Diceros bicornis minor: one gene and its partners. The protein of the gene in region 4 purifies or fractionates together with the protein of the main gene of each other region. This does not show direct contact. Links are inferred from orthologs where the notes say so. Each region holds a gene or a part of one and is shown on either strand. Other genes may lie near its edges.

Region 1 (8,128 bases), on a different chromosome or scaffold from region 4:
GCTTTAAGAAAGGAAATGGTTACAATTAAATAGAAAAATAAGAGCTTTCTAATGTTAATCACAAACTGAGCAGTAAGAGAAAATAAAATTGACTTTATTGATTTCATCACCACTCACAAGATCAATTTTTCATCATTTTTCCTCTAGGCATATTTACAAACATCCTAGAAGGTCTCAGAAAGAATTAGTCATTAATTTTGTTCACTAGAAGTTCAGGTAAAATTGTATTACAATGAATACTATTCCACTGAAAAATTGTTAGACCATGAAAAGATTTCCAAGTTTTAGATAACCAAATTCCAAAACTGTATATAAAACATTCTGGCATCCCTCTGAAATTGGCTGAAATAAAATTTGAGCAAAGATAATGTTTGGTAGGAGTATAGGTGAAATTCTTCTTTTAAATTGTCTACTTTCACAGAGAACATCTATCACAATATTTATATTCCATATAGTAAAATAAGACTTAAATGCAAATATATACAAATACACTTTTAAATGACTGCTTAAAATATATTGTTTAAACAGCTTATTTGGCCAGGCTACTACAGACTGAATTTATTTGACTTAACAAGTTCACATCTCTATGAAGTCTTGCATCTTTTGAAATATGTTAAATGGCAAATTGCATGGCACAAGTTCAGTCCTTTCCACAAGATTAATGTCTCAGCAACTATACATAAAAGTTAGACTGCTACACAATCTTTAAGAGTCTCCTGACCACTGTGTATAGTAAGATACATTTTATAACTTCCAAAGTAGAGCAAATACTATTTTCCCTCTCCCACTTTTTACTTCCAAATTGTCACTTTTAGTTTTCTTTTTTTTTTGTGAGGAAGATCAGCCCTGAGCTAACATCTGATGCCAATCCTCCTCTTTTTTCTGGGGAAGACTGGCCCTGAGCTAATATCCGTGCCCATCTTCCTCTACTTTATATAGGACGCCTCCACAGCATGGCTTGACAAGCAGCGCGTCAGTGCGCACCTGGGATCCGAACCGGTGAATCCCGGGCTGCCGCAGCGGAGCGCGCGTACTTAACGGCTTGCACCACCGGGCCGGCCCCAGCCACTTTCATAGTTTTCTTTAAGGTGAATCACAACATAACTAGTTCACACACCCTCCAGTAATTCCTGACTCCTAGAAGCACATTAAATTTTAGGAGGCACACAAAAGAGTCATTGACTCCTTCCAGAGCTACTGCCTTTAAATGAAGGAGAGGACGTTAGACTGTGTTCCAGGACATGCTGTACCAATCTTTTGCCCCATGGTAAAATATGTTCAATGTAACTTCACCTCTAACTGCTAACTTTCTACCTAGTAAGTTTTAGCAACTAATAAGTGATTCTCACTTCAGTATCAGAGAGACATTTCACAACAGTTATTTTAAAAATAAGAACTAAAAAAACAACAAACCCAGAAAAGCTATACTTAATATAAGATGGTATGCTGGAGAGAGCACGTGGCTTTGCAGTCAGATAGATGCCAGGTCTGCATCTTCCTAGTTGTGTGACTTTGGACAAGTTTTCTTATCTGTGAAAGGGGGATGACGACATCTAACTCATTAGGTTGCTGTGAAGACTGAGTTAATAAGTGGAAAACATCTTGCCAAGTTCCTGATATAAGCTGAACAATGGTTTAATCATTAATAACTACTATCTTCTCTTCTTCCAAAAGAATTCTAAGAAAGGCATTCCCAAATCTGGGGGCAGCCAAGATCAATGACCTCAGAAATAGCTTCAGCTGCCCTTTTGTAGTTGGGAACCACAAATGAAGAAGGGTGATAGCATCCTGGAGTGAAGAACGGTGAAGGATTTAAACTACCAGTTGAGTCACACTGGTTTCTTAGATGAAACCCTTCTCCCTCTTCCTGATGGTTTCATGTTTTAATCTCTCTCTGAGAGATTATAAGGCAGAGGAAAAATCCTATCATTTTATGCCCTTCCTCTCTCCTCCTATGATGTTAACGGAAATAATGGGGACTTGGTAAGGAGGCTCCATAAATACCCACTGCACTGAGTAAATCAACTGGATGGACAAGCACCAAGGTAGGAAGGTAGGAATAGAACTAAAAATGATAGTGTTCACACATATTACTCTTTTTTCCTTCAATATCTTCATAGTCCTTAAATATTCTTATTTAGAGATCCAAAGCTGTGGCTTAAAGAAGCAGTATGATATGAGGAAAACTGGGAGTGAGGAGTGCAGAATTTTAATCTCAGCTCTGCCACTAAACAGCTATATGGCCTTGAAGAAAAAAATTACCCAGTTACTCTGGCACTGAGTTTCCTCACAGGTAAAATAAGACAGACTAGATAATCTCTAAGGTCCTTCTTGGTTCCATTCTAAGCTTTCATGGGTAAAAATCAAGAATTATGGTAAAAATCAAGAATTATTTGTTAGAGAATCCTGTTAAATAAGAGTAAGAGGTAAATACACAAAGAACTAAAACAGACTGTACCTAAATCAGTCTTTGATCTGTTGTGATAAATATACATCCTCATAAAAATTGAAGTAAAATTGAAACAATCTGCATAGTTACTTTAATTATAAAGCAGTCCAGCCTAGGCAGGAAAAATTCTATTCTTTGTCAATGGCATAAACAACAATATTCTTGTTATCTTTACATTTGTAAATCACTTCTGTACACCAATTTTAATACCTGGAACATTCTGCTAATATGTACCAACTCATTTAGCTTACTGTCTACATGAAGTGAATACAATACAAATATGACACAGGAGGAAATAAAGGGCCACAGCTGTATAATTAAAAAACCAACAGGTCTGTTTTCCCATATTCCCATAACTTTTCTTTATAAATATTAAAATTTAGCAGTTTTTTACATTTGTATCTAATCTCAATACACAAAACATTGCAATAAATTTTTGTCAGAAATATAAATGAAAGATAGTAAAACTGCATTATGTTTTAAGATGGCAGTGATATTCCTGGGGTGGGGGTGGGGGTGGGGATGGGGGTGATACTGACCTGATTATTGGCAGTCACACTTCAGTCCTCAAGTATAAATTCTTAAGGTTTTCTTCAGTTACAATTTGAGAAAATTGACGAATATATTTAAAATGCCGTCAGCATGGTGGAAAAGTGTCCAATGCTGCAAAATAATAAGAAATTTATTGTCTGTGTGACCACACTACAAACAATTTTGTAAATCCCACGAATGTCAACCGTCATTACAGGTGATGAGGCCTGACAGCTGTAGGTTGATACAGACAAGAAAGAAGAAAATAGCCACTTCTTCAAATTGAGGCTAAGCAATACAGGAAAAACACCAGGAATCTGACTTCCCTTTTGCAATTATAATTAGGAAAAGTGAGAACTTTCAAAATCTTTTTTACTTTAAGATGTCCACTGTCATTTCAAGGACTAACTTATGAATGTCACTAGAAGAGACTGACTTTCTCTCCCCGTATTGACAAAAGCCTATTTGCTTGAATCACCATGACGTATGCACAAGGCACTCAGATAGAAAAATAACATAATTACAACTGAACTTTTTAAACTGCCAAATTCGCGTAAGGAGAATTCTCATCTGCTCACCTCCTGCCAATCAATAAACAAAAAGACAACCTGTCACCATCTCAACTTTGTCTGTAAGGGTGATCATTCATCCCAGCTTCTACTTTTTCCCATTTATTTTAAAATATTAAATGTTGAATTATATACAAATTTTTTTATGTTTTCATAAGAGTGTATTAGACCCAGCAAACTTTTAAAAAAATTATAGGCTTTAAATTTTATTTGATAAAACATAATTTTTGTCTCGTATTTTAAGGCACCAAGTCTATTGGACTCTACTTTCTGCCCAACATATAAATCATGTGGCCCAATATTTTCAGAAAAAGGCTGTATCTAACTCCATATTCATTATCAGAAATATGACTGCTAGATTTTTGGCATGCCAGGTTGTAGTCTACAGAGTCATTCTCTACTTATTTTGTAAATGAGCTGTTACTTGTCATTGTCATCATCTAGTAAGTAACTTTGAAAGACAAGATCATTTCAACCAGATGCTCAGCTCATTCCTTCCATTAGAATCTCTCTAAGACCCAACTTTCCTTAGAGTTTAGAGGCAGATGTTTCTGTCTAAGGAATGCTACAGTCTATAAATTTGAAATGAAAACCATTTGTGGACAAGTTGTCTGGATACATTATCATACCCTGTGGTACAGCCAGCTGTAGCTATATTAAGCTTTATAGTTTTCTCAATTAAAAAATACATATAATAAAAAAGATAAAGTTATAGATATTTTAATACCCTGGAAAAATAAGGCTATTTATGGGCTAAGTAGGAAACTTGTTTTTAAGTCATCAGTAACTGATTTCAAACATGAGTTTGCCCAGCATACCATTTGGTCTATTCACAATCTACTTCCCACCAAGTCAGGGCCAATAGCCAGGAGGGCAGAAGTCTCTTCTATATGAACTTTCACGTGCCAACGGTCACAAGAGTTATGGCTATTAAGAAGGGCACCCTCCTTCCCACCCTCCCAGCCTCCTAAAGGGCAGTGCTGATTTTGCCATGGAAGTATGCTGCTGTGGCCTGGGCTCTGTTCATTTTATTCTGACCTTTTCCCTTCTCTGGATAATACCTAAGCTCCACTCATTCTGGTTGTGGTTGTGCTTTTTCCTTCTTGAGGAAGTCCCAGCTTTTGCTTTAGAACTCTGAATTAATTCTATAGGATAGCAGGCATTGTTGTTGTTTTTTAACACATAGAGATTGGGTGGCAGAAAAAGAAACACCCCAAACAGCTTCTATAGCTATGTAAGCAGTAGGGCAGGGCAGGGTGGAGTATAAGTAAGATGTTTGTCTATCTAGTATCTGGGTGTGCGTATGTCTTTATGTGGAACTGAAGGCTTTATTTCTAAGTGGTGGGTGATATGGGGCATGGAAGAGGGAAAACAACATTTCTAGATGAGTCTTGGATATTTCTGGACATAGAAACACCTCAAAAAAACTACATTTTTTTTTTAAATCAACTTGGCTAGAATAAAAAACAAATCAGTTGTTTTACCCAGGAGATCACTCTTGCAAAACTGGATAAAAATCACTTCTTTATTACATACTCAGACATCAAATTTAAGAAATTTATACTTGGGCTACAATTGACTGAGATTCAGGCCATTCAGTAAGTTTTTAGTATTAGTGATAAGATATGGCAAAGATATAAAGCAAGTCTGCTCCAATTATGTAGACTCTTTCACATACATATAAACAAAACCAAAATACAGGAGGCCAATTAATTCTCAAAATTCAGAGTCAACACTGACATACAAAATGGGTGTTTTTTGACAGCTTTCCACTAGATAACGTACTTCCTTAAAAACTTAGTATATATGAAATTAAAAAAAAAATAAACATGTCACATTTATAAATACTAAATCTAAATATGGACAAAAATGCACTGCTATTTTTAAAAATGTATCCAAAGCAACCTCCTATTTAGGGGTGGAAGGTGTTGACACATTACCTTGACTATCTCAAAAGATGTAAGTTTCCCCACCCTCTGGCACTTCTGGTTTTTCAGAAGGGTTATTTATGCATTTGGGGGTAAGAGAGTGACAACATTCCAAACTATACCTCTCATTCCACTTGTGGCATTTTAGGATTAGGCTAGGGAAGAAAAATACGTCAAAAAACTAACAGAAAATAATTTTCTGATCAAGAAAGCAGATCTTCTGTACATTTACTAAAGCGAGGTGTTTTTGCTATTATTATTTACAAAGTTTCTAAAACCAAGGTGTAAAATCTCCTTTTACTGAATTCTACAATACTAAGCAATGTAAGCTTTACTACAAATGTCAAATCGATCTTCTTTCAGTTGAAGTTAACAGGTATTACGGGACTATTTGGACTTTTATGTGTCTATGTATTATAATGTGTTATGGGCTGATTTATGTCCCCCCCGCATTTCATATGTTGAAGTCCTAATCCCCAGGACCTCAGAATGTGACTGCATTTGGAGATGAGGTCTTTAAAGAGGTAATTAAGTTAAAATGAGGTCATTAGGGTGGGATCTAATCTAATATAACTGGTATCCTTACAAGAAGAGGAAATCTGGACACAAACACGGGACAGGGAAAGACCATGTGAAGACAGACGGAGAAGACAGCCATCTACAAGCCCAAGAGAGGCCTCAGAGGAAACCAGTTCTGCTGACAGGTTGATTTTGGACTTCCAGCCTCCAGGACTGTGAGAAAATAAATTTCTGTCGTTTAAGCCACCCGGTCTGTGGTACTTTGTTATGGCAGTCCTAGCAAACTAATACGACATGCTAATCATTTACTACTTTTAAAGACCATCAGAGCAACTAGATCTAGCCTTCCCCTTACCACAAGACTGCTATAACACATTTTTCAGAATGCCTTGCTTTGTCTTATCAGTCTGCTTTTTCCAGCCATACTATACGTAGCATTATATAAAACAGAATGGTTTTGAAACACTTTTAGAGATTATCAATTTCAGGATCCTGAAATATAATATGAATAGTACACTTACAAAGAAATTACAACAGTGCTAAGGGATCGAGATGCTTGTTTATCCAGTACTGTCAATATAGACTTTGAAGTAAGCCTTAAGAAACCAGTTCTGTAATAAAGCTAATACTCTTTAAGGTCAACATTGAAAATACTTTCAGTACTCTATTCAAATACACAGTGCTCTACTCAAAGCAGATTCTAGGATAACAGATTTTCTGGATTTATGCTTAGTACAGAAATTAATGATGATATAATTGAGCTTATCAACCTTAATTACCACTACCTCAGAGTTTTATAACATAGTTTTCTAAGAATTCAAGCAATAATAGTAATAATAAAAAGATAAACATTTATTGAGCTAAACATTAATATGTTCCAGGTAGTGTTCTAAGTACTTGACATGCATTAATTCAGTCCTCACAACAACCTTAGGTGATGGGGATTGATGTATAATCAGCACCAATGAATTCATCGTCATCATCCCCATTTTACAGATGGGAAAACAGGCACAGAGGCTAAATAACTTGCTCAAGGTCTCACATCTAGTATATGGCAGAAATGGGATTTGAACCTTGGTAATTTGATTACAGAGGCTTCCTTAGTAACCACTGCTTGGTAACCACTGTTTACATCTGATCTTCTCATTTTATCAGCCTTAGGAATTGTGTAGTGGAAAAACCTCCGCTAAAATGTGATTCATAAAGCTGGAAGGGACCTCAGAAATAATCTGATTCAGCACTCTCATTTTATAGATGAAAATTGAGGCCACAGTTGTTAAGTGAATTACTGAAGATTATAGTTAAATAGTAAAACTAGGTCTCACACTCATGTCTTTTTAAGATCCAGTCTAATCCACTTTCTGGGACACCATGATGGGTATCAGCTTTTTGTTTTGTTTAGCTCTGTTTTAAGACTCAGGCATCTCTGGCGTATCTCAGTGGGTGTGTGTGAATGTCTGTCTCTTTCTCTCTCTCTGTGTGTACATCTGTTTCTCTCATTGTTTCTCCTATATGTTGCCAACAAGATTTATATCTATATTGAAGAAAAGGAGGAAGTGGCCTCATGCCCACAAACATTCAAACACCTTTCCCCCAAAATGAGGACATTTAGCACAACGTTATTAAAAACAGGTCTGTCTACCTGTGTATCTGTTTACACTCTTTCAAGTATTCTCATCTGAGGCAAGACCAAACCAGAAGAACTACATTAGTTAAGCTACTGGAACGTATGTTAATGAAAATGATTAATAGTTTTTGCATTAATTTTTTTCATTAAAATAAAAAAAAGTCTTTTAACATGAGAAAATTACCAGAAGTATGAACCATTTCAAGTATATTTGTCAGTTGCTTTATTTAGTTTAAATGAAATTACAACATGATTTCATTGAAATATGTATATCTGTCTATATCATCTATCTGTCTATCATTCCCCTAAATTTTTGCGTTTTCTAAAATAATGTCACTATGATTTGTAAAATACCACTATGAGGGAAGAATAACATGTAGATTGATTTTATTTCCAGTAAAAGGATTCATGGGCCACAATTCTAGAGACAGCCCTGGAATACAAAAACCCTTTAAATGTTAATGTAGGATGAAGTTGTTGACTCCATCAGGATTCCAAACTGAGA
Region 2 (7,191 bases), on a different chromosome or scaffold from region 4:
AAACATTACTTCTATATACGCCATCACATAAAAGAAAAAAATTTCCCATTACCTTCCTAAGACTCCACAGCACTACTATACTATATTGCAAAGACCTGTCGAGATGGTTCCCTCTTCCCCTCAACCCAAACACCCTCCTCCCTAAGTACTGAGCCCTTAATAAGGGTGCTAAATGATTTACATAATTACCTCAATTCTCAAAACAATAGTAGGTACCATCATTATTCCCAGAAGAGAAAACTGAGGCTTAGAGATGTTTAAAAAAAAACTTGCGTGAAGTAATGCTTATAGAAGGAGGGGATTCTTGTGTTGTATAAAGGAATTTGCTGGGAATATATATTAGGCCTGGGGACTTTTGTTATGAGACAATTATAGCAGAAATTCTCAAACTGAAAATTTCACACAGAGAAAACAATTAAAGATATTTGGTCAAACTGTGGGTTTTCTTTGGAACTGCATACCTCACGATATCTGACACACAATAAATGCTCAATAAAAATCTACTGTCTGTTCAAACCTAAATTTTAAATAGTTAATTCCTAAGACAATTTGATCACATGGCACAATCTGATAGGGTATTTGTTTTAACTAGATTAAGTGGTACAATAATCAATAATTATAGCTACGCCTAAAGTAATGGCCTCATATTCTGAATGTGGTTTAGCTAATAAAGCAGGGGAAAAAAGTGAAAATGGTAGAAATAAGCTGTGTATCCTTTAAAGATAAGTTTTTCTAATAACAAATTCCATTCAAAATTTTAACACGTCATCTCAATTTCTACAATAAACACTCATTATTGACCTATTCTCTCATCTCAAAATAACCTATTGTGGGGGTTTTAGAATAGCCATGAAAAGCACTGTTCATGTAATCATTATTTTTCAAATAAGTAAAAGAAAAAATCTGAGTCTCCTTTGAGTACTGAATCAAAGCAAAGAATGTGCATTTGCAGAGTATGTACTTTAAGCAAACCTGTTTTCTGATTAAGTTGGACCAGGCACATAAAGAGACAAATATGTAAAAGCTGGTTGAGTTAACGCACTAGCAGTTAACTGATGTTTGAATTTCATTTCTGGAAAGATGAGTTCTATGAATATTCACTTTAAATGATTATGGGTAATCTATGAAGTCTTTCAGGTACCCAAACTTTAGTTTCCAGGGGGAAAAAAAGGGTGTGTTCCCAGGTAAATGATCATCTGGTGTTACACCGAAAAAATAACATACTTTTCTGTTCTCATCCCACACACGGAGTAGGGTTTGGTATTATGCAAGCACACAGCACTTGGGCAATCTTTTCGTCCTTTCTTCGAAAAATAATTTATATAATAATTCCTTAATTCAGTAGCAAAAGAAGTATTGCTTTCTCTCTTCCTTTTGAGGCTCAGGTTTCTTTCATTTCAAAGCACTACTCTTGACTTAAATTCTCTTTTTAAAAAAGATTTAATCATTTAACTCAGAAAGAGGGAGCAAAAAGTCAGGAGGTGAAACCAGAGATATTTTTATTAGTCTTATATAACTTACTCTAAGTTAGAACTGATTCAGTAGCTCAACTAAAACCTGAGGTTTAAGCACAAAAATAAGCTCTTTAGTATATTCTCCAAACACATAAAGAGTTTTAAAAATTGAAAGGATCTGTCTGTATTTTTTTTCTTGTATTCATAAAATATAAGCACTCACATGTATAGCAAAATAGGGTGCCAACATAAAAATGCTAAAATGGAAGAGCACTAAATTCATCCTATCACATCTAGGTACTGTAATAATTGATAGAATTGGATATAATTTCAGAAAATAAATTGATTTCCTAAATATCACCTCTGTAAGTATGCATTAAGTGTTTTTAGTAAATGCTGCGGGGAACATCAAAAACTGATTTTCAAAAGCAATAGGTATACGTTAACCCAATATGCAAACAGAACTCTGAAAATGTCAAGTTAACAGTTGTTCATGCTTAATTAAATTGGCTTTGATAACTGCAAATTACTCCCACACAATTTACACAAAGGACTGTCCTTACTAGAAAGGCCCTGATCTGAACTCAACTAAAAGCTATGTGTTAACTACCTCTCACCACTGAGACACTTGAGCCCCAGTGTAATACTGGCCACGGATTCCCTGCATTGCTTTGGGAATTGCTCCTTGCTTAATCAAGCACTGAACTGCAAATTCACCTTTCTAAAAAGACTGAAAGCAAGAAGCCAAGTTTCACTATCTAGTTTTCCGAAACGAATTAGGGTTTGGGATTTCACTGGGAATGACCACATTATCAAGATGCCATCACCCTAGGGTTTGGGATTTCACTGGGAATGACCACGTTATCAAGATGCCATCACCCTCCTGAGGCGTTTAATTACAATACCTCTCTGTTTTCCATTCAACCACCTCAATTAAATTTCCACTAGAACCAGACACAAAAACTTGATTCCGTGGCCTTGCTGAAAGTCTCCTGCGCGTGCAAACCCTGGGATCCCGAATACATTATGCAAAAACGGCAAAGGCATAGGAAAAATAAAGACTGTTAGACAATGTGGTGACATTACCTTGCCCGTCTTGTGATCAAACCAGACGAGAGCATGGTTCCTTGACAGCACTTTGCAATCAAAGGTAGCATTATTCTGCGCTGGTCGACAGCGGGCCACGGAGCGGCCGATTTTAATGGGCTCGTCCAGGTAGACATGACGCTCCTGAAACGGGTGCGAGTTCGGGCGGCAAGTGAAGATGGCCAAGGCTGACGGCATCGAGGACAGACTGGGGGTGTCTCTCCTATCAAGGGACAAAGAGGAGTTCCACCGGATCCGGACTGCCCTTCACAAGCCTATACCCCTATCCCCCCCAAAATTTTAAATTAAAACAAACTGTGCATTGTCTAAGCATAACCAGCGAACATCAACAACTCTTCTTCACTTGAGTGGGAAGACAAGCCAGCGAAAGCCCCATTACCTCCTTTAAAACCCAGCAGCGCCCTGATCACAAAAAGTCCCCAACTGGCAGCTTTCAGTCCATCTTCTTCCCTGGGATGAAAAGACTCAAACATCGGACAGCTTCGGCCAAGAAAACTCCTGGAAGACAGTTTGGAGATTGGAGGTATCCAAGCAGATGAGTCACACACCAATTCTTGTGTTTTGTTTGGGATCGCGGCCGCCTTTCCCCCTCGGTGGCGGAAATGTTGCAGCACTGCAGCATGAAGGAAGGGTCGGTTCGGTGCGGCCAGCAAGGTCCTTTCGCGCTGAAAGAAGGTGTAGCCGAGCACCTCTGGGCAGCCACTGCCCGTCCTCGAGGGCCTCGAGAGGGGAGAGACAGACGCGAGGGGGTCTAGACGGCCAGCGGGACAGTCTGCATGGCCCCTGCTGCGCGGAGGCCGCCCGGGAGGTGGCACGGGTCCCTGGCCCCGCACGAGCCGAGGCGGCGGTGGCTGGGTCCTTGGCGCGAGGAGCGGGGACTGGCGGGAGCGCGGGCAGAGGCCGAGTCGGGACTCCCCGACACCTGGCGGGCGTCCCCGCGACCAGGGCGGGGATCCGGCTCCGCAGGCCGGTGCGGACCGAGCGAGGCGCGACCCCGGGGAGGCTCGGTGGTCTCCGCCCGCAAGAAGTTGGTCCCTGGACGCCTGGGCTCCTGGCTGCTGCTCAGCACACCGGCCGCCTCCCCTCAGGGTCGCCCCCGCGAGGGTCGCATCTCAGGGACGGCAGCCGCAGCTCCCGGCGGACGAGGAGGTGGGGGAGGGAGGCCGGCCCGGAGGTTGGGGGAGAGGCCTGGAGGCCCCGGGCTGGGTCCGCCGCAGCCTCCACCACTCGCGGCCGCTGGGACACGCTCAGGCTGTGCCCGACGAAGCAAGAAACTTTCCGACCTGGTGGGGGAAACATCAAAACAAACGGCCGTCAGGCGCCGGTGCCCGCCCGCCTCAGCCCTCATCCCCCTCAACCGCCCCCCGCCAGCCCCCGCCACGGGCCACGACCTCGGCCGACCTCTCCGCAGAGAGGCTGCGGGAATTTGGAGCCCGGACACCACGACGGGTCCAGCCTCCCTTGCCGCCGCCGCCGCCTCAGCTTACCTTGCCAGCGCCGGCCGCCATAGTGACTCTGACTGAAACCTACCGGGTGCACCGCCACGGGAACGCGCACCCTTCAAGGGCCCTCCTACCCCCTCTCCCGCGCCGTAGTCCGGGGAAGTCACGTGATCGACGCCGCGGAAGCCATGACGGTCGAGGGCAGAAAAGAGGGCAAGATAATTTTCAACGATTCTCCGGGCGCCATCTTAGTTAAGGGCTGAAAGCTTCAAACCATGGGACAACCTTTTCGGCCCTTTTGGTTAAGGGCAAGAAAAAATTTGACCTGTTGAAGGTTTTCTAAACAAAACGTGCCAACTTCCTACTTTACCATCTTGGTAAGAAGGCACCAACTTTTACTAAATTTTATTCACTATCGTTCTTGTTGAAAATGGCAGCGAGCAAAGAGAACAGATCCATCCAAAGCAAATGTTCATTAGCAGCCATCTTAGCTGTGGGCAACACAGTCCCCCACAGCCGCCTTAGGTGTGAACAACCAAATTCCCACAAGTCTCAGGATTTGTGCATCTAAGATGACAAAGTCCGTCCTCTTCCTGCTAAAGTCTTCCCTGTGTATCCTACCCGGAGAAAAACTCTTTCTTAGTCCCCGCATTCTATTTCGAATGACCGCTTTTCTCACTGGAACTGTCATGTCCCTCAGGGCTCCAAACACAGATTCTACCCCAGAAAGAGTATGACTTAAAAGTTTAAAGTCACGTTGCTTCTAGAGAGATGTCATCAATTTACAATATGAAAAAAAGGGGGTGTGGCCCCCCACTCATGATATTAAGGTAGATGAGGAGTCATTGGTCTAAAGAAGGGAAGACTGCAAAATCTGAAAGAAAATTTCAAGAAAAGATGGTGGGAAGGAGTCATTCATTTAGAGTCAATGGTGGCTTCATTCTTCAGATTCCTTTGACAACAGGCTCCACCACTGTGTGACCTTGGGCAAGTTTCTAAACCTTTTCAAGCCTCGTTTTCTCATCTATAGCATGCAGATAATACATAACTCACCTGTTCTTGTGAGAATTCAAGACGATAATCCATGTTGCTCAATGAAGAGTAACTATTGTTCATTTCAATGCTTATTCATAGGCTTTTGGCCCTGTCCTAAAATCTGTGCTGAGTCCTAGGGGTGAACAAAACCTCAGTCCCTGCCCTCTAAGGGCTCATTGAGGTATTATTGGATAGGAATTTGGGGAGAGAGGTGACAAACATGGATACAAATAACTTCACTTTGATGTAATCAGGGCTAAGATGGAGGCAAGCACTGGATCCTAAAGGGGTCAGGGACAGCCTTCTAGGGGAAGTAACTGAACTGAATGAATGAAGGTAGGAAAACCACAATAAATATGGTATTTACTGAGTGCCTTCATAAATTTCCAGAAAGAGGGACTAGGAAGCAAAGGAACAAGGCTATTGAAACAGTGGACCAATGTGCCTGGCATATAATAGTGACTCAATAAATATTTGATACCTCAATAAAAATTACATATTGTTATTCATTATTACAGGATAAAGCAGGAGTGGCACAAAGTGAATCTGGAGACAAGAATATGCATTCGATTATAAAGCCTTCATATACTTTTCTAAGACTCTTCACTAATTCAGCAAATATGTATTGAACGACTACTGTGTCCAGTTACTTTATTCTGGAGAAAAATAAGGATATGTTCAAAAGTTTTCATATAAAGATGAAGAGTTTTCATTTTTGGTAACTTTTAGGCTTATGTGGAATAAAGTAATATAGGTCCCTCCACAAATCCCTGATGAGTTCTGTGCATGAATTTATAAGTGACTTATGCATTCCTTCATTCATTCATTCTATAAATATTTAATTGAATATCTACTGGGAAACAGATACTTTGAAAGGCCCTGGAAATACAACAATGAAAAAAAAAGATTCCTTTGAATTGCTCATAGTTTAGGTGATGACACAATAAGATCCCTGCCATAATGAGTATATCAAGAGTAATGGGGCCCAGCCCCAATGGTTAAGTTCGGTGCACTCCGCTTCAGCAGCCTCAGTTCTTGGGCACGGACCTACACCCCTTGTCTGTCAGTGGCCATGCTGTGGCACGGCTCACGTACAAAAAGAGGAAAATTGGCAGTGGATGTTAGCTCAGGGCGAACTTTCCTCAGGAAAAACAAAGAGTAATGGGAGCATGGTAGAGTAGTTTAAACTGAGACTTGAAAAATGAGTAGGAGTAGGCAAGCTAGTCTGGTAGTAGTTGGATAACAAAATTTTAGGCCAAGAAAATATTATAAACAAAGACCCAGAAACTTGAGAGAACAGGACCTTAAGGGAATTACAAGCAGGTCTGTATTATTGCAGTATAAGTGGAAGTGGGGGTGTTCAAGGAGAGGGGCACAGAAGTATGATTTCAATTGCTGGAGGATTCATAGGCAATGCAATAAACTTCAGAACATTTCCATCTTTCTCCTACAAGGTTAAAGTAGAGTAATGAAAATCAAGGTTTCAGAATCAGACGTTGCATCACCATTTACCAGCACTGTGAATGGTAAATTATTTAGCTTCTCTAAGTCTCAGTTTCTTCATTTGAAAAAAGTAGACAATACTTCACAGAGTCTTGTTAGGGTTAAATAAGATAACGCAAGACAAAGTGCCTACCATGATGTCTAGAAAATAGTAGATATTCAGAGAATGTTAGTTTTTATTATTATTACTAATAGTAAGAATTCCCCCAGCCTTCCACATACAGTAAGGAGCAAGTTGTATTATCCCTAATTTGTATATGGACAAACTTGTTCACAAATATGGAAACAAGAAGTGTCTCTTTACGTTCAGTTCTACTACAATCTCTCTTAAAACTAATGTTAAACAGAATAGGCTTTTTTTCTCCAAGAAAAGCTGGGATTGCTATAACCTGGAAGAGTAAACAATCCTACCAAGCTACACAGGGTGTGGAAATGCCAAAATGGCATTGAAGGCGTTCTTCACCCACTGGTATTCGGCAGGCATAGAAAAGGCTTAAATTAAGAAATCTCATACATGAGATATTTTGAATTCTAAGCCATGTGGGTGTTCCTCTCGATGATTCTGTATCCATACAGTATTTTAATTAAACAAAAAACATGTCATGTTTTGAGAAATTTGGAATGGTAGTGTTTTCCAATGTTGCAGCTTT
Region 3 (7,232 bases), on a different chromosome or scaffold from region 4:
ATACTCAAGGCAGCCGTTTCTGACAGAGGAAAACTGGAAACTACCTAAAAGTCCATGAACAGGGGTCCAACTAAATGAGCTATGGTACAAACATCCAGTGGAACACAGTCATCAAAAATGAGAGAGAGGGGCCAGCCCTGTGGCGTAGTGGTTAAGTTCGCCCACTCCGCTTCTGCAGACCAGGTTCGTGGGTTCGGATCCCGGGGGCAGACCTACACACCGTTCATCAAGCCATGCTGTGGTGGCGTCCCACATACAAAATAGAGCAAGATGGGCACGGATGTTAGCCCAGCAACAATCTTCCTCACCAAAAAAAAAAAGAGGAAGAGCTCTCTGTGCTGACGTGAAAAGGACACCAAGACCCACAAGTATGTGAAAAAGTCACAAAACGATACATATAATATGATCTCATACGTTACACAACAAAGCTGCACTACTTTTATACTTTTATAGCAATGAAGTTGGAGAGGAGAGCTGGAGAGAAGAGGAAGAAAGGGACGGAGGGGGACTTCCTTTTACACACAGACACACACACACATATATGTATACTTACATACACACACATTTCTGAGACCTCTGAATGTTCACTAATGTCACAGAACAAAAGAAAACAAAAGTACAGAGACAGTGATGATGTGGAGCCTAGAAAAGGAAGAGCCTTCTGGGTGCCATCCACGAGTTCCACTCAGACTCCCAGAAGGGCCACTAAGGGAGGGAATAACACACACCTTTTCTCTCATCAGTCTCAAAGATGAGAAGGTGGTGTGGTGGGTGCTGTAGGGTGCACCGGCGTGAAGTCCCAGAGCCTCGGGTTCACTCCCGGGTCTGCTACGACTGCGTGGATGACCCTGGGGAGGCTGCCGAGCTTCCTGGGAGCAGTTTGCTCATCTGAACTGGGCGGCAGAGAGCTATAGAGCATGAGCTTGAAAGCCCTCAGACTAGCCCTGCCACCCATGGGCTGTGATCCTAGGCAAATCACTGACCCTCTCAAAGCCTCCATCTCTTCTTCCGATTATTTTTTTAAAATGTGGGCCGGGGGGGGGGGGGGCGGTAATATCACTCACCTTTCCAGAATGTTCCAAGGATTAAATGATACCATGTATCTAAAAAACTCAGTCCAGGCCCTGGCACATAACATGAGCTCAATAAACAGCAGCTGCTGGCATTTTTGCTGAGAGGGCAATGGCACTCGTGCTGCCCACATAAAGGGGTATTGAGAAGATCTAATGAGCTGTACCCTGGGAAAGAGCTCCGGAAGTAGAGCGGGATGCAAAGGCGAGGAGCACTTACATAAGGATTCCTCTCCCACCCCAACCCTCAGCTGGCCAGACGGCTAAGATCCTTAGTGGGGCTGGGAGAACTGTGGAATGCTGTCTTTATTCATCCTATTCACAAAATTCTAATCAGTTATTTATTTGAGTCCCCAACTCAACCAGATAGGAAACCTCAAATCAGAAAGGGAAAGATGGGCTGCTAGAAGCAAGTGCTGACTTCTGCTAATAACACACCAGCCCAGGAACGCTCCGACTCCTGGCAGCCCGTCCCTGGACCCCTTCAAACTCTCAGAACGCTGATGTCCAGGCTCTTTGGGACACTCTCTGCAAAGGGACCCACACTTCTCAAGGTCACAAAACCCAGCCCAGCTCTTCAGGCTCTTCCAAACATCATCCCAGCGCACATCCCTCTCCCAAGCTACTCCACAAATCATGAGGTCCTTTCCCGGAAACTTCCACAAACACGTCCTTCCCACCCCCCCCACCACCACCCCCCCCGCCCCCCAAGGTCGTTCTGACATGCTTCCTCACGCTGCCTTCCTGCTCTGCAACACGCTCCCCCTGCCATCCTCCAGGGGCCCCCGGATTCCTCCTCAGTGTCCCCATCCCACGGTGGACAAGCCTGACCCCTCTCACTCCAGTTCAGAGCCCCACCTGACATCTACACACTCCTCCATCTCGGGGCTGCAGCCCCCACTCTTCCACACCCCCAAACTGGAGTTTCGGCTCTCAAGCTCTCCCACACAGGCTCCCAGGGCAAGTCCTGGCCCCGTCCGTGCTTCCACCGCAGGGACCCTTCCCTGCCCTCGGTACGCACACATGCCAGGGCTCCCCAAAGCTCCCTCCTCGGAGAGGAAGGCACACACCTCCATCCCGGGACTCCTCGAGAGCCTCTGCTCCTCCCGAGTCCTCCCACAGCCGTCTTTCAGTTCCCGTCTCCAGACGCTCAGAAACACACCCCCTCCCAGGCTCCCCGACTTCCTCTCCCGACTCAGGCCGGTTCCCCCACCCCGGACCCGGCGGGTCCCCGACGCCCCGTCTCTCCCACCTGGAGCCCATCAGGCTCCACCTCCAAGCGCACCTGGTGGGCCGGGGCTGGGAGAACCCCGCACCCTCTGAGCTTTCGCTCCCTAACTCCTCCATCAGCCCCCAACTCCTCCATCACTCTGGGCTGAGTTCTCTGGGGCTGCCCTGGGGGGACCCCGCCCCGGCACCCCCCGACCGGCCAGCCCACTCCCACTCCAACCGGCTCCGGTCCCCCGGCCTTCTCTCGCCGGACCCGGCCGGCCCCTCCCGCCCCGGGGTCCCCTCGGCCGCGAGCCGCCCGGGGCCCCCGGGACCCCCCTGGGCCGGCCCCTCACTCCTCTCGGGCCGCCGCGGCCCCCCGCCCCCCCGGCCGTCCCGGCGGCCATTGCTCCAAGATGGCGGCGGCGGCGGCGGCGGGTGAGGCCGGGCCGGGCCGGGCCGGGCCGGGCGGGGGGCCGGGGGTCCCGGGGCGGCGCTCACCTGCAGCTCGGCGCGCTCGGCCTCCCAGCGGGCCTTCTCCGCTTCGAAGCGCGCCCACTCGTGCTGGATAAAGTGCAGGATCCCGGGCAGGCTCAGGGGCTCCGGCCCCGCCGTGGGCCCGGGGCTGCCTCCGCCGCCGCCTCCCTTAGCGGCCGGGCCGGGCCCGGGGGACGGGGCAGGGGCCGGGGCCGCGCCCGTCGGGCCGGGGCCTGCGGCGGAGCCGAGCGGGCGGCAGGAGGAGGCGGCGGCGGCGACCGCGGCGGCCGCTCGCTCCTCCATCATGGAGGCCCCGGGGCCGGCCCGCGCGCCCGCCGTGCCTCGCGCGCCTGCGCGGCCGCGCCAACCTCCCCCCCCCCCCCGCCCCCCGGCCCTCCGCGCGCGCTCGCCGGGGCTGGGGGGGTGGGGGCGGAGACGGGAACGAGGCCCGGCGCGCGCCTCGCCCACCCGGGTCGACCCCGACGGCGCGCGTGCGCGCGCGGGGGGCGGGAAGGGGGCGCGCGCCCCGAGGGGGGCAAACGCGACCCAGGCGCCGCGCGGGGGTCGCCCCTGGGAAGAGCGGGACTAGGGGAGGGGTCGCTATGTGCCCCCCTTCTCCCTCTTCACCCCAAAGAAAGATTCAAACCCTCTCCAGACCCAAATCCCACTCTCATCGACAGTCAATGTCTGTCACTCTTTGAGAGAAAGGGCGACCACCATCCTCTCTCATTCCTGGCCAGGGGCGGTTGTCATGGTAACCTTTCCCCAGCTCGGAACACCCCAGCCTCCCCTCCCTTCCCCTCCACCTTTGTGGTTATGGAGTCCCAAACCTTTCCTGTACCTGCACCAGGAGGAGGTTGCTAAGGTAACCTAAGTCCCTTGTGGTCCTTCTTCCCCTACCCTCATTGGTTACTATGACAACCTCACCTAGCACTCAGGTAAAAAGGGCCCCAGCCCCAAGGACACTGATGGCTGAGGGAAACACTTCTTTCCTAACCCCTCCCCCCAGCTACTCAGTTGGCATTACCATGGTAACCATCTCCCCCCTTCCCCATCGTGGGAGGTCCATGGACCAAACCCAACAGGTGTTTTTATTTAGAGAAGATGCTCTGCTGAGCAGTAGTTGCTATGGTTACAGAGCCTGGCCCATCCCCAGAGACGTGAGAAGCAGGCAAGGCCAAGCCCTGGTTACTATGGTAACGGGGGCAGTCCCCCTTCCTGTGACCCTTGGAACTAGGCCCACTAAGGTACGGGATGTTTTATGATTGTCTCTCAGCATGGAGTGTGTCTAGGGGAGGAGTTGTCATGGTAACACCTTCTGTCACTTCCAGCCCTACCTTTCTGGACACATTCATGAGAGGGATGCTTAGAGGTTGCTATGATAACTAACATCCTTCCCTCCCACTCCTAAGATGCTCCAGGTGGTGCCCAAGCTTGTGCGACTTCAAAAGAAATGATTCCCTGACCTTCTCACTGCCACTTTTGTAGATAAGATGAAATTGTGCTCTATTGTGCAAAATTGGCTGATTTGAGGTTTTCTGGTTCTCCTTCCCTCAGCAGTGCAGCTGAGCTGGGCTGGAACCACCTGCCTGGAGCTCCCCCAGCCTGCAACCTAGGAGGTAAGAAGTCCCCCAGTGTCACCAGCAGTCACATGGAAACTGCCCTTTCCTTGTCCCCAAAGGCTTTCCCACATGTCGCTTATTTTCTCTGCCCATCACATACCCATTCTACAGATGCAATAACTGAGGCTCAGGCCAGGTGAACCCAGGCCTGAAGTGAATCTGGATCCACTTAGATTGTTTTGGGGGGAGTGGAGAGACATAGCTTAACTGCCCTTAACTTACCACCTTTTCTCTGTCACGCCCCCTGCTGGTTTCCTGCCCTATCTGTAAGTTGTTTGTGTGGTTCTGTCTGTCTTCCTACCCCTGGAGGGCCTGCCCCATGACTGCCTCCTTCATCACAGGGTCCGGCTCAGAGGGCACTCAATAAACATCTGTTTGTTGAGTGAATGAGTTGAATGAATTATTTAATGTGCCATCTTCAGCTTTGAAAGCCCCTGTCCGGTTAGGGCGGGGGAAAGCTCACTGAAGATGGACCGAGAATTGGACTGTCTGAGTGGACCCAACAGAGACAGCAGTTTATTGGTTGAAAGCACCACTTTGGAAGCAGCTTCTTGGGTCTTCTTCCCAGCTGTGTGACCCTGAGCGAGTGACTTCACCTCTCTGTGCCTCAGTTTCCTCATCTTTAAATGTGATCGTAACATGAAGATGCAACAAGTTAATAGTGTAAAGTGCTTAGAACTGAGTCTGGCACGTCATGAGTGGCTAGCATTGTTGATATTGTTATCATCCTATCATGATTCAGAAAGATGTCGAACGTTCGGACCTTCAAAATCATCGTTTCATCCACTTTGCCCCAGTGAAGAGGTTTTGAGCCCTTACAGTTGGGGAAGCTGAGACGGACCTTGTCGGGGTACTAGATGATTCCTTGCTCTCTCTTCTCTGGTCCGCTCCCCTCCTCATCTGGCTCTCATACCCGCTGCTCTCCAAGGACCTGGTTTCTGTCCTTTGTCCTGCTGGGCACCTCCTGGCCCGGAGTCAGCCAGACAGAGCACAGCAAGAGCCAGGGCCTGGAAGTGGAGACCCGGCTTCTGCCACCTGCCTCCTTTCTGCCTCTGAGCCACAGGTTCCCCATCTGAGCAACGGGAGTCCCTCCTTCATTCCACACAAATGATGCGTTTGGTGGCCGGTGTGTGTGGCTGGAGCTGAGTGAACGAGTGAGAGAAGACGGGGGATCATGCGGGGCTTTATGGGCCACCGTGAAGACTTTGGGTTTTCCTCGGAGTGAGTTGTGAGCCACAAAAGGATTTGAGCAGATGCAGAACAAGATCTAATTCGAGTTTTAACCAGATCCCTCTGGTGCTGAGTGGGGAACAGATTATAGGGGATGAGAGTAGAGCAAGAAGATGGTCACTTTAGAATCTTTAGAAAATTCTAAAACTATCTAAGGCTCTCTTCTGTGCTTCTGTGTACCTAAGCTCTAAGATTCTGAGATTTTTAAGACCTCGAAGACTCTGTGGTTCCAAAGGCCCCTCCCCCCGTAATAATGTGAGTTCCGTGAGGTCAGGGGTGTTGTCTGTCTCTGTGTGTTGTGTGTCCACCGCTGTGTCCCCAGGGCCTAGAACAGTGCTGGCGTGTTGTAGGAGCTCCACAAATAGACATTGAAGGACTGAAGGAAGGAGGGATCAGTCTAAGGGCCAGAAGGCAATTCCAAGGTTCTGAGGATTAAGAAGTCGCTCTCAAGGTGCAACTCAGATTCTTTTGTGTGTGTGTGTGTAACATCAGCCCTGAGCTAACATCTGCCAATCCTCCTCTTTTTGCTGAGGAAGACTGGCCCTGGGCTAACATCCATGCCCATCTTCCTCCACTTTATATGGGACGCCGCCACAGCATGGCCGGAGAAGCGGTGCATCGGTGCGCGCCCGGGATCCGAACCCGGGCCGCCAGCAGCGGAGCGCGCGCACTTAACCGCTAAGCCACGGGGCCGGCCCCTACAACTCAGGTTCTTAAGTACCAGCCGAGCTGGGGCAGAGAAGGGCATGTGGGACTGGGATGGGTGAAGAGGGTGGGAGAGAGAGGAGGCAGGAAGGCCAGGGCAGGGCCCCAGGCCCATGGCCACAGTGCGGAGTGTGGCTCCAGGGACCTGAGTGGGCTTTACAGACACACAGAAACCCTGACCCTCGCCATCAGTTTTTTGCCAAGTGCATTTTCAGTGCCCAGCCGTGTGCTAGGAACACAGCGGTGATCGAATGGCCCTGGCTGTACCCTCCCAGGTCTCACAGTCTAGTGGAGCAGACAGACCCATCCCCAGATGGTGCTGAACCAGAATAGGCAGGCCCGGAACGGGGGGACCCCAGGGGCTGCGAGAGCCCAGAGGGGACTTCTGACCCAGCCAGGGGTTCAGGGAGGACTTCCTGGAGGAGGGGCCATCTGAGCTGAAGCCTGAAGCATGAGTAGGAGCTTTCCAGGAGAAAAGAGGAATGGGGAGACGGGATGTTCAAGAGGAGACTCTGCTAGGCAGAAGGAACAAAATGTACAAAGACTTAGAAATAAGACGTGTTGGAGGAGAAGTCCGAGGTGGCTTAGGCATAGAGTTTGAGGAGCCATGGCGGGAGATGGGGCTGGGATGATGGGCGGGTCAGGGCCAGGTCACACAAGGCCTTGTGGGATGTTGTAAGATACTTAAAGTTTCTCCCCAGGGCACTGGGGAGCCATGGCAGGTTCTGAGCAGGGGGGAGAGGTCAGATTTGTGCTTTGTGAAGACTCCTCTGGCTGCCATGAGGAGGGGACTTGGTCAGGAGACCAGGAGGAGGCTGAGTGGGGCTGTGGGTGGACCCAGGCTGAGGGAGGGGAGCTGTGGGAATGGGGAGGAGGGGTCAGAAGTATTTAGGAGGTAGGAAGTTTAGCTGGGGCTCTG
Region 4 (7,929 bases):
TTAGGATGGATTTTACTTTTGCCACTAGCTCAAAATAGGGCTTTTACCAGTACCACTTTGATCTTAATTTCAGCTGACTCCTTTAGTTTTTAGGCAATCTGAGTTAAAATAGGAATTTAATTTTGAGGGAAAAATCACCACCATATAATGTAACTTTCTATAGAGTAGTATTTCCGACAGACTCCAAAAAATCATGTTATTAAAAAAAAAAGAACTAAAACCTAGTCACAAAGAATTAAACAATAAGGTGATCTACATAATCAGGTTTGACTTTTCACTTTTCTCTTATATTCTTTCTACGCGCCTGCCATTCTTGACCTGGAAGGGTAGAGCAGGTATCAAGTAGACCAAGTGATGGTAAGGTTACTTCACAAAATTGCTACTAATCCCAGTACTTTGTGCTTCAGGTAACAAGGATCACAAGAAATAGTGAGTGAAACTGTATTTTTAACAATTCTAGAGCCACTACATATAAAATCTTTTTTTAAAGTACATTCTCCACAGAGAAGTCACATCATCACATCTATTTCTTTGCATCTTTTTGCAAAAGAAAATGAGGGGACAGATTTAAAACAAAATGAAATAGCTATTTTTATTTAGCTTTTCTTCATTTAATATTCATTGCGTGCTTATTTCTTGTCAGGACTTAACAGGGGTGGTATCTTAATACTCACAACCAACACAGAAGATCAGGAAATTTTATCACCTCTGTCTTACAGATGAGGAATCAGAGGTGCAGGGAGACTGGCAGCTGCCGAGCTGCAGGGCCAGGGTGTGAACTCAGATGGGCTGACCACCAGAGCTCACTGCAAGCAAACAGGACACTCCTCAGGAACATGGAGGATCAGGGTAGGGACGTAAAATGGAACTAGAGCCTAAGGTTAGAAGACAGAACATATATACCACAAAGGGACGCCACAGTTGCTAGAAGAGGGCTGCAAAACCAAGCACTGCTTAAAAAGGTAGAGAGCAAGGAATCCTATCACACTTCTCCACCCACCAGCAACTCCATCAAAGGGGTGGAGGAGAAAGATAAATGATTGTGGATTTTCACGTAAAAACTCATGTTTAGTGGATAAGTACAAATATTCAAAGAAAAAAGTGGGTAAGACATAAGCTTAAACATACCTATAAAGTCCTAGGGATTGGTAGTTCAATTATTTAGGAGCTGAAGTAAAAAATACTCTCGACAAACACAGAAAGCTTCCTCAAGTGATTAAGACTCAAGTGTGACTGAGTAGTGGTACAACATTCCTCTCTAGAAATACATCTCCAAATGATTAGAGCGTCAAAGGGAAAAGCTGACTCAGCTACTGACTGTGTCCATTAACTTGGTGAAGTGCATGTCTATGTTCATAGTGAGGTTAACTGACTCAGCTAATGTCAAAACTGGATATTTCACTCGACACTGGAGCTTGAGAGAGAGAGATTTAAAACGTAAATTTTAAGACATGAAATTATAGGTTATGACTCAAGGAAACTGAATGTCTACTTGAAGCTATAAGCAAACAGTTTTTTCAGAAAAATACCAGTTGTTCAGCAATTCTATTTACAGAAATAAATTTTCCTGTGTTAACAAATAGTTATTTAATATACAAAGGCCCTAGGCGACATTTACTTGTTAAAAACACTATTTTAACTTAATATTAGCTATTACTCCTCCAACCCTAAGATGCTTTATTTTAAGAGTGCCCTATTAATAATACTAACAACATTTCTGGGGCATCCTGACTTCCGAACACTATGATCAAGAAAGTTTTATAGATTATGGCTTAAAAATACAAACAAACCCAACAGCATTAAAGATTAAACTCGTTACTCCTTCCTGGACTTCAAATGAGGTCTTTTAACATATAAATGTATGAAAATTATTTAGTCCAGATTATAAAAGATGAATGAGAAAAACTCTAGACTTTAACGTAAATAAGATAGACCGTCTGAAATAATTCCAGTGGTTAAGAACAGTCGATACAGAATTCAGAATGTTGTTTAAGATCATACAACCAAGAACGACTGTAAACAACTAAAACAAATAAAAACTCCTTTTTCTTCGGAAAAGAAAGCTTTACATGTAATAAAGATGGAAAAGACTTTCTAAAAAGTGCTGCTCTGCACGAAAAATACATACCCCATTTATCATTTCAAGCAAGCACTGTTGCCAAACTTTAGACTTGCTGTTTTATTTCTGAAAATCAACATTTTGCTTCCAAGAGCCACTCAACGCGAAGACCAGTTACCATCTGTTTCAACCAAAGTCAACCTCTATTTTAAAAACCACAGCCTGCCATCACACCCACCTCTCCACAAACAAATGCCTGACGCATTCCAAGGTCGCGATTTTTGAAGGGCCCGATTCACCTGAAAAAAATCCTACGTTTATGAACAGGTTCGTTAATATGAGCAACATCCAGGTTAATTTTCGGTGCATTTTCAGACAGGAGGTCGCATCAGACTAAGTGGCCGCATTCCACAGGGCCGCGCTCGCTAGTCCACGCTGACCTGGAGGGTCAGGAACCCCCAGAAGAGCGTCGGTGACCCCATTCGAGCTCACGCGCGGGTGCCAGGTCTCCCCCGGCCACCCACAGCGGACCCCTGGGCCAGTAACGTGAGCGCAGCGCCCCGGGCCCCGGAACGGCCACCGCCGCCGCCGGGAGCACGGGCCCGGGGCAGGGCGGCCGCCCCCGCGCAGCCCTCCTTCCTCTCCTACCTTCTCGCACAGGGTCCGCACTTGGTTCTCGTTGAGCTGTTTACACTCGTTCAGCTGCTCGACCCACTGGTCCAGCTCCTTGGTGAACGCCTTGTCGTCCATGGCGGCCCGCGGCCCTCCCCCCGCCCCGGCGCCGCTCCCCGCTCCCGCTCCCGCTCCCGCTCGCCGCTCCGGCCGCCGCCGCCAGCTCCCGGCGGGAGAGGAAGGAGCCGGGGCGCGCGGCCGCGGGCCCCACGCCCCGCCTAAGGCAGCGGGCGGCGCCGGGAGCGCGGCCCCGAGGAGCCCCCCGGCCGGCCGCGCGCCCCGCGAGTCGCTGAAGGACGCGGGGCGGTGGGGGGCAGCGCGGCGCGGGGCTTCGGCGCAGCTCCCGCCGGACGATGGCCACCCGCCGGCCACTCCCGGCTCTCTCACCCCTTCGCTCTCGCTCTTTCTCTTCCCTCCCTCCGGGTTTCCGTCATCGCCCGGGCATTTCCGCCGGGAAAAGGGGAGCAGGCGGCGCCGCCAGGGAGCGGGATGCGAGCAGGGCTGCAGCGCCCCCGTGTGGCTCGGCGGAGAAACGAGCCGAGGGTCGCCCCGCTTTCTCCCCCTTCCCTTCTCTATGCCCGGTTCCCGCTTCGGGTCCGGACCAAGCTCTCCTGGTTCTTTCCTCACATCCTTTTCTCTGGGAACTTCGCCCCCACCTTAGTCTTCTGCAGTGCTTTTTCAGCGCTCTGGAGAGGGAATTAGGAAGCTTGTGCCTTTCCTCGACAACATTGTCTCGCCGGAGTCTAGCCCTTTCCCATAGCAAGCATTCAATATTTATTGAGTGAATCAATGAATTCTTTCTAGCCTTATCTCTGCTACTAGCTAGCTGTGGGGCCCTAACATCTCGAATCCCCGCTTTCAGCATCAGAAAGATGAAATGATTGTTCTGTATAATATGAAGCTGTGTTGTGCCAACTTCTTAGCTGTGTCCTTGGGCAATCACCGAATTTCTCCAAGCCTCAGCTTCTCCGTCTAACAGGGCTCAGTAAGGCTTACCTTTTCATGTTGTGAAGATTAAATTTTACAAGTACCCACCCAGTAAGTACAGTACGGGAGCAATGTGTTAGTTGCCTTATCCCTCCTAAGCCACAGTTACAGAAAGCTTTAGAAAGGTGCCATTTGAACTGAATTTTGAACCTTTCCCCAAGGCAAAACTTTGAAGTTGCCTGGAGAAGAGGAAAGAAGTTCCAAGGAATTTTTTTTGTGTGTGAGGCAGAGGACAAATGTGTGATCACGGTCCGTTTGGAAAGCTATACATATTCCTATCAACAGAAATAGGGAAATAAGGCTGGAAGAGCTCCTGCTCTCAACGGACTTGTAAATAGTAGCTAACCAATTGAAGAAGAAAACATGAAGAGGTAACGAAACAACACTGAAGAGAAGGGGCACCTGTATAATTGCAATAGACATTGCAGTCTCTGAGGTTAGTCTATAAAGGTTTAAAGGGGGCTGGATTTCAGCTAACCCTGGAAAGCTCAGAATGAAAATGAGAATGAGAAGGGCGTTTTCAGAGTTCCTAGAGAAGATGGACTGAGAACAGAAAATATACCTTGAGGAGAAATGGGAACTCTATGTTATAGTGGTTAGGGAGGGAGGTCCTTGAAATAAAAGCAAATGTGTTCGGAATAACAAGAGCGGATGTTCTTAGAGTGGAAGATAGGTAGGCAAGCTTGTGAAAATAGTGCTTCTGAAAAGCTTAGTCAACTTACACTGTAGAGCAAATAAAGATGCTTTTTTTTTTTTTTTTTGGTGAGGAAGATTTGCCCTGAGCTAACATCCTTTGGCAATCTTCCTCTTTTTTTTTGCTTGAGGAAGATTAGCCCTGAGCTAACATCTGTGCCAATTTTGTATGTGGGATGCCTCCGCAGCATGGCTGATGAGTGCAGTAGGTCTGCGCCTGGGATCCGAACCTGCAAACCCAGGCCCGCCAAAGGGGAGCACGCAGAACTTTAACCACTTGGCCACGGGGTGGGCCCCGGGATGCTTTTTTGAGTGCTTCCTATGTGCTAAGCGTTTTACATTTGTCTTCTCATTTAATCCTCCAGTAATCCTATGAGACAGGTGCCATTATTGCTCTCCACTTTACAGATGAAGAAAGAGACACACAGAAGTTTAAAAGCACACTCAAGTCACACAGATAGTAACTGGTGGAGTAAGGATTAACACCCAAGTTTGTCTGACTTCTACTCTGTGTTTTATGTTATATGAGCTCTACAGTCTGACGGGAGTAGGGAAAGCTGGAGATTGGTAGACCAGCCAAAGGGCTTGGTGATTGTAATATCAGTTTTTGGTATTTCGGTTGTGAAGCCATCTTAATTAAAAATAAAAACTATAATTCTTAAACTTCTTTCTTTCTTTGCTCTTTGCTTCTGTCATGTATGTATGTATGTATTATGTATGAATATGTTGTGTGTTTTCTCCTGTGGAACATAACCATCAATCTCCAATCCTTGCTAAGCATGTCATGCAAAACTGCATTTAATCTTAGGTTTGCAGGCCAGTTCTAAAGTTCTTTGTTTACCAGAAGTGTTCTCATTTTTACTTTGTTTACCTCTTTCCTTTTGGTCAAAGAATTTTAAAATCGTTGACTTCAGCAGATCCTTTGCCTTAAAATTACATGTTAGATTTTGTTCCTACATAATTGACTAAGTTCTTTTAAAATATATAAACATTGATATTTTTCTTGATTTAAATGGTATTATGCCATTTAAAAGTATGAAATATGAATCATTTATATTTTGTAACATATCCAGAGAGTTATATGCTACATTTAAAATTATATGTTGTATTGGTTTAAAAATGATTCTTCTATACCACCATATTCTCAAAAGACTAAATAAATATCTTTATTTCTAGTTCAAAAACTTTGACAATGGGAATGTGAATACGGTATTATTGAAATTGCTACAGGGAATTCTGCATCAGAATCCCCATCAATAATGATGAGACTAAAAAGACAAAGTCAAATTGGAAATGCTTTCTTTGAATTTAAAAACTATAAATCACTGTTAATAAAAAGACCACAGTTCTTTTCTCCTCTTATCACTCTACCACCCAAAAAACTTGGTTCTAAAAACTCCCTTCAAATTTATTGAGGAAGAGATGGAATTATTTGAAGATAAAGGAATCAGAACAGATGCTGTGTTTAATATTTTGTCCTTCTTTGTTGACCTCAGTTGGAGGCTTGGTTCAAATTCCCTAGCATACCACTGTGGAAGTGGAGTCCTTTATAAACATTTTATACCTAGCTATTCTATATTGTGTATCTGACAATTCCCACACTGCCAGTTCTTAAGTGACTAAAGATGTTTTTCTTGTTTCTGCTGACTCTTACTCATAGTGGCTTGCCTTCTAGTGTGTATGCATTCACAGCTTGAATGGATTGTGACAGTACTGTGGGCCTACCTTGGGAAGACTTTCCTCTAGAAAGTTTGCTTCTGTATCTGCAGAAATATCCAGGAAATATTCCTAAGCCAACACCACTTCAGCAAGAGTTTTGGCTCAGAATAGGAGTGTCAGCTCCCCCACCTCAGTGTCCCTGTAGCAGTGTCTTTGGGAATCCAGCCTCAGAGCAATGTCATTCCTTCTGGCAGCCGTGTTGTTCAGGTGAGCTCCCTGCTGATTTAGTCAGGCCATGGCTCTTGGCCCTGTGGGCTTAGTTTCCAGCTGTTCTGTCCCAAGCATCTAGTTCTTCTCAAATCTTCAGATGGCTCAAGCCCAAGATCCTTTCCACTCCAGCCCATGTCTACCCATTCTGGGCTAAATTCATGCTCGTTTATTTTTGGGAAATCCATGGAGATCTATCCTAATTTGTAAGACCAATGAAGCCTCAAAAAAAAAAAAAAAAAAAAAAAGGTGTCCTGTTCTGGGTCTAGTTGTTTTGGAGCAGGCAGTTCCTGTAGAGCTCCTGGACATTTATAACACTGAAAGTGAAAATCTATGTTTTAAATATTTAAAAATTTGTACAGCCATGTTGATGCTTTTTCCTCTATGTAATAGAATTTTTTGTAATCTCCCGCTGTGGGCTTTTAAAAGCTGAGGCCTACAATATTCTCAAGACTGACACAGCTCAGAAGTTGATTTCTCTGTCACCGTGGAGCTTCCATCCCTCCTCTGAAACCTGGGATACTTCCAAAAATAACTACTGGAGAAGAAGCTGTGGTCACTTCAATTCTGAGAGCCGCTTAATTGCCCCATCATCATAACTTCTGGCAATGGCTTTAATCTATTCTATTCAATTAGTTACTGTTCTCACTTGCCACACACTTTCTTGGCTCCATGCCTTAATTCATGCTTTACATCTACAGGAAGTACTTTTTTTCCTCCTCCATGCATGCATAAACCTGCCTCTATCATCAAGGACAAGTGTCAGGATTATCTTTTTCCATGAAGTCCTTTCTCTTACTGACACCAAAAGGAATTCATCTCTCTTTAAAAATTCATACCTTTGGGTCTGTCCTTTTTCCATACCACATACTTTCTAGATCATGTTGTTTATATGAATTTCTTCTTTCTTATTAGAATATAAATTACTTGACCGCACGATCCATGTATATTACATTTGTGATACCAAAAACGTAGGACAAGCCCTTTAGAGAGTAGGTGCTCAGTAAATATTTGTGAGTGAATTTGAGGAAAGTAGCAAGAATGAAAGTAAACTGCTGGTCTGACTAAAAGGATTAGTTTCAGTATTTAGGATTGATCCACCACTATGGAAAGCCTCAATATTTGTTTCATCTTCTTTCTTTTAAAAGGTACATTTTTGCTTTTGTTATGGTTTTGATGCCATATTTTTCATTCTAGCCAACACTGGTAGAGCAGGGATTGTTAGCAGTCTAGCCAGTACCCACGGTACCTTTCTTAACAATTCTGTTTGTAGTGAAAAATGCCCTGCTTAAAGAATACCTAGGAGTGGCCGTGTGGTGTTATTCTGGCAAACGCACCGTAAGGAGAACTAGCTGAGTGCGGCTCTACGGGAAAGCTTGTTAAAGGGAGTAAACTCAGAATGCTCCTGCCTGGGACTCATTGCTGGAGATGGAACAGCCATTTTGAGGCCACTAGAAAAAAAGCAAGAGGCTACAGGCCACATGTTAGGGATGGCTAAAAAGAAAGAAAAACGAACTTGGGTCCCTAAGGGCAATGTGAAACCAGGATAGCCGCTCTGCTTGCCTACTCCAGACTTAGGAGTGAAGAAGAAA

What was found.
Region 1: the proteins of PPP2CB (region 4) and CTTNBP2NL purify together in Homo sapiens (affinity purification with mass spectrometry; 5 studies listed by BioGRID and IntAct, counting the BioPlex papers as one, with this or other methods). This does not show direct contact. The link is inferred for Diceros bicornis minor from reciprocal best matches to the Homo sapiens genes PPP2CB and CTTNBP2NL.
Region 2: the proteins of PPP2CB (region 4) and SLMAP purify together in Homo sapiens (affinity purification with mass spectrometry; 3 studies listed by BioGRID and IntAct, counting the BioPlex papers as one, with this or other methods). This does not show direct contact. The link is inferred for Diceros bicornis minor from reciprocal best matches to the Homo sapiens genes PPP2CB and SLMAP.
Region 3: the proteins of PPP2CB (region 4) and STRN4 purify together in Homo sapiens (affinity purification with mass spectrometry; 4 studies listed by BioGRID and IntAct, counting the BioPlex papers as one, with this or other methods). This does not show direct contact. The link is inferred for Diceros bicornis minor from reciprocal best matches to the Homo sapiens genes PPP2CB and STRN4.

The regions. Positions count from the first base shown.
Region 1 is NC_080743.1:45,209,022-45,217,149, reverse strand, and holds the start of CTTNBP2NL (CTTNBP2 N-terminal-like protein), read right to left. Parts: upstream 3,124-8,128; 5' UTR 2,989-3,123; intron 1-2,988. UniProt on the Homo sapiens protein: Regulates lamellipodial actin dynamics in a CTTN-dependent manner. Associates with core striatin-interacting phosphatase and kinase (STRIPAK) complex to form CTTNBP2NL-STRIPAK complexes.
Region 2 is NC_080741.1:57,749,912-57,757,102, reverse strand, and holds the start of SLMAP (sarcolemmal membrane-associated protein), read right to left. Parts: upstream 3,031-7,191; 5' UTR 2,739-3,030; coding exon 2,541-2,738; intron 1-2,540. UniProt on the Homo sapiens protein: Associates with the striatin-interacting phosphatase and kinase (STRIPAK) core complex, forming the extended (SIKE1:SLMAP)STRIPAK complex.
Region 3 is NC_080773.1:22,277,124-22,284,355, forward strand, and holds the start of STRN4 (striatin-4), read right to left. Parts: upstream 3,078-7,232; 5' UTR 3,063-3,077; coding exon 2,781-3,062; intron 1-2,780. UniProt on the Homo sapiens protein: Calmodulin-binding scaffolding protein which is the center of the striatin-interacting phosphatase and kinase (STRIPAK) complexes.
Region 4 is NC_080768.1:28,480,193-28,488,121, forward strand, and holds the start of PPP2CB (serine/threonine-protein phosphatase 2A catalytic subunit beta isoform), read right to left. Parts: upstream 3,108-7,929; 5' UTR 2,810-3,107; coding exon 2,708-2,809; intron 1-2,707.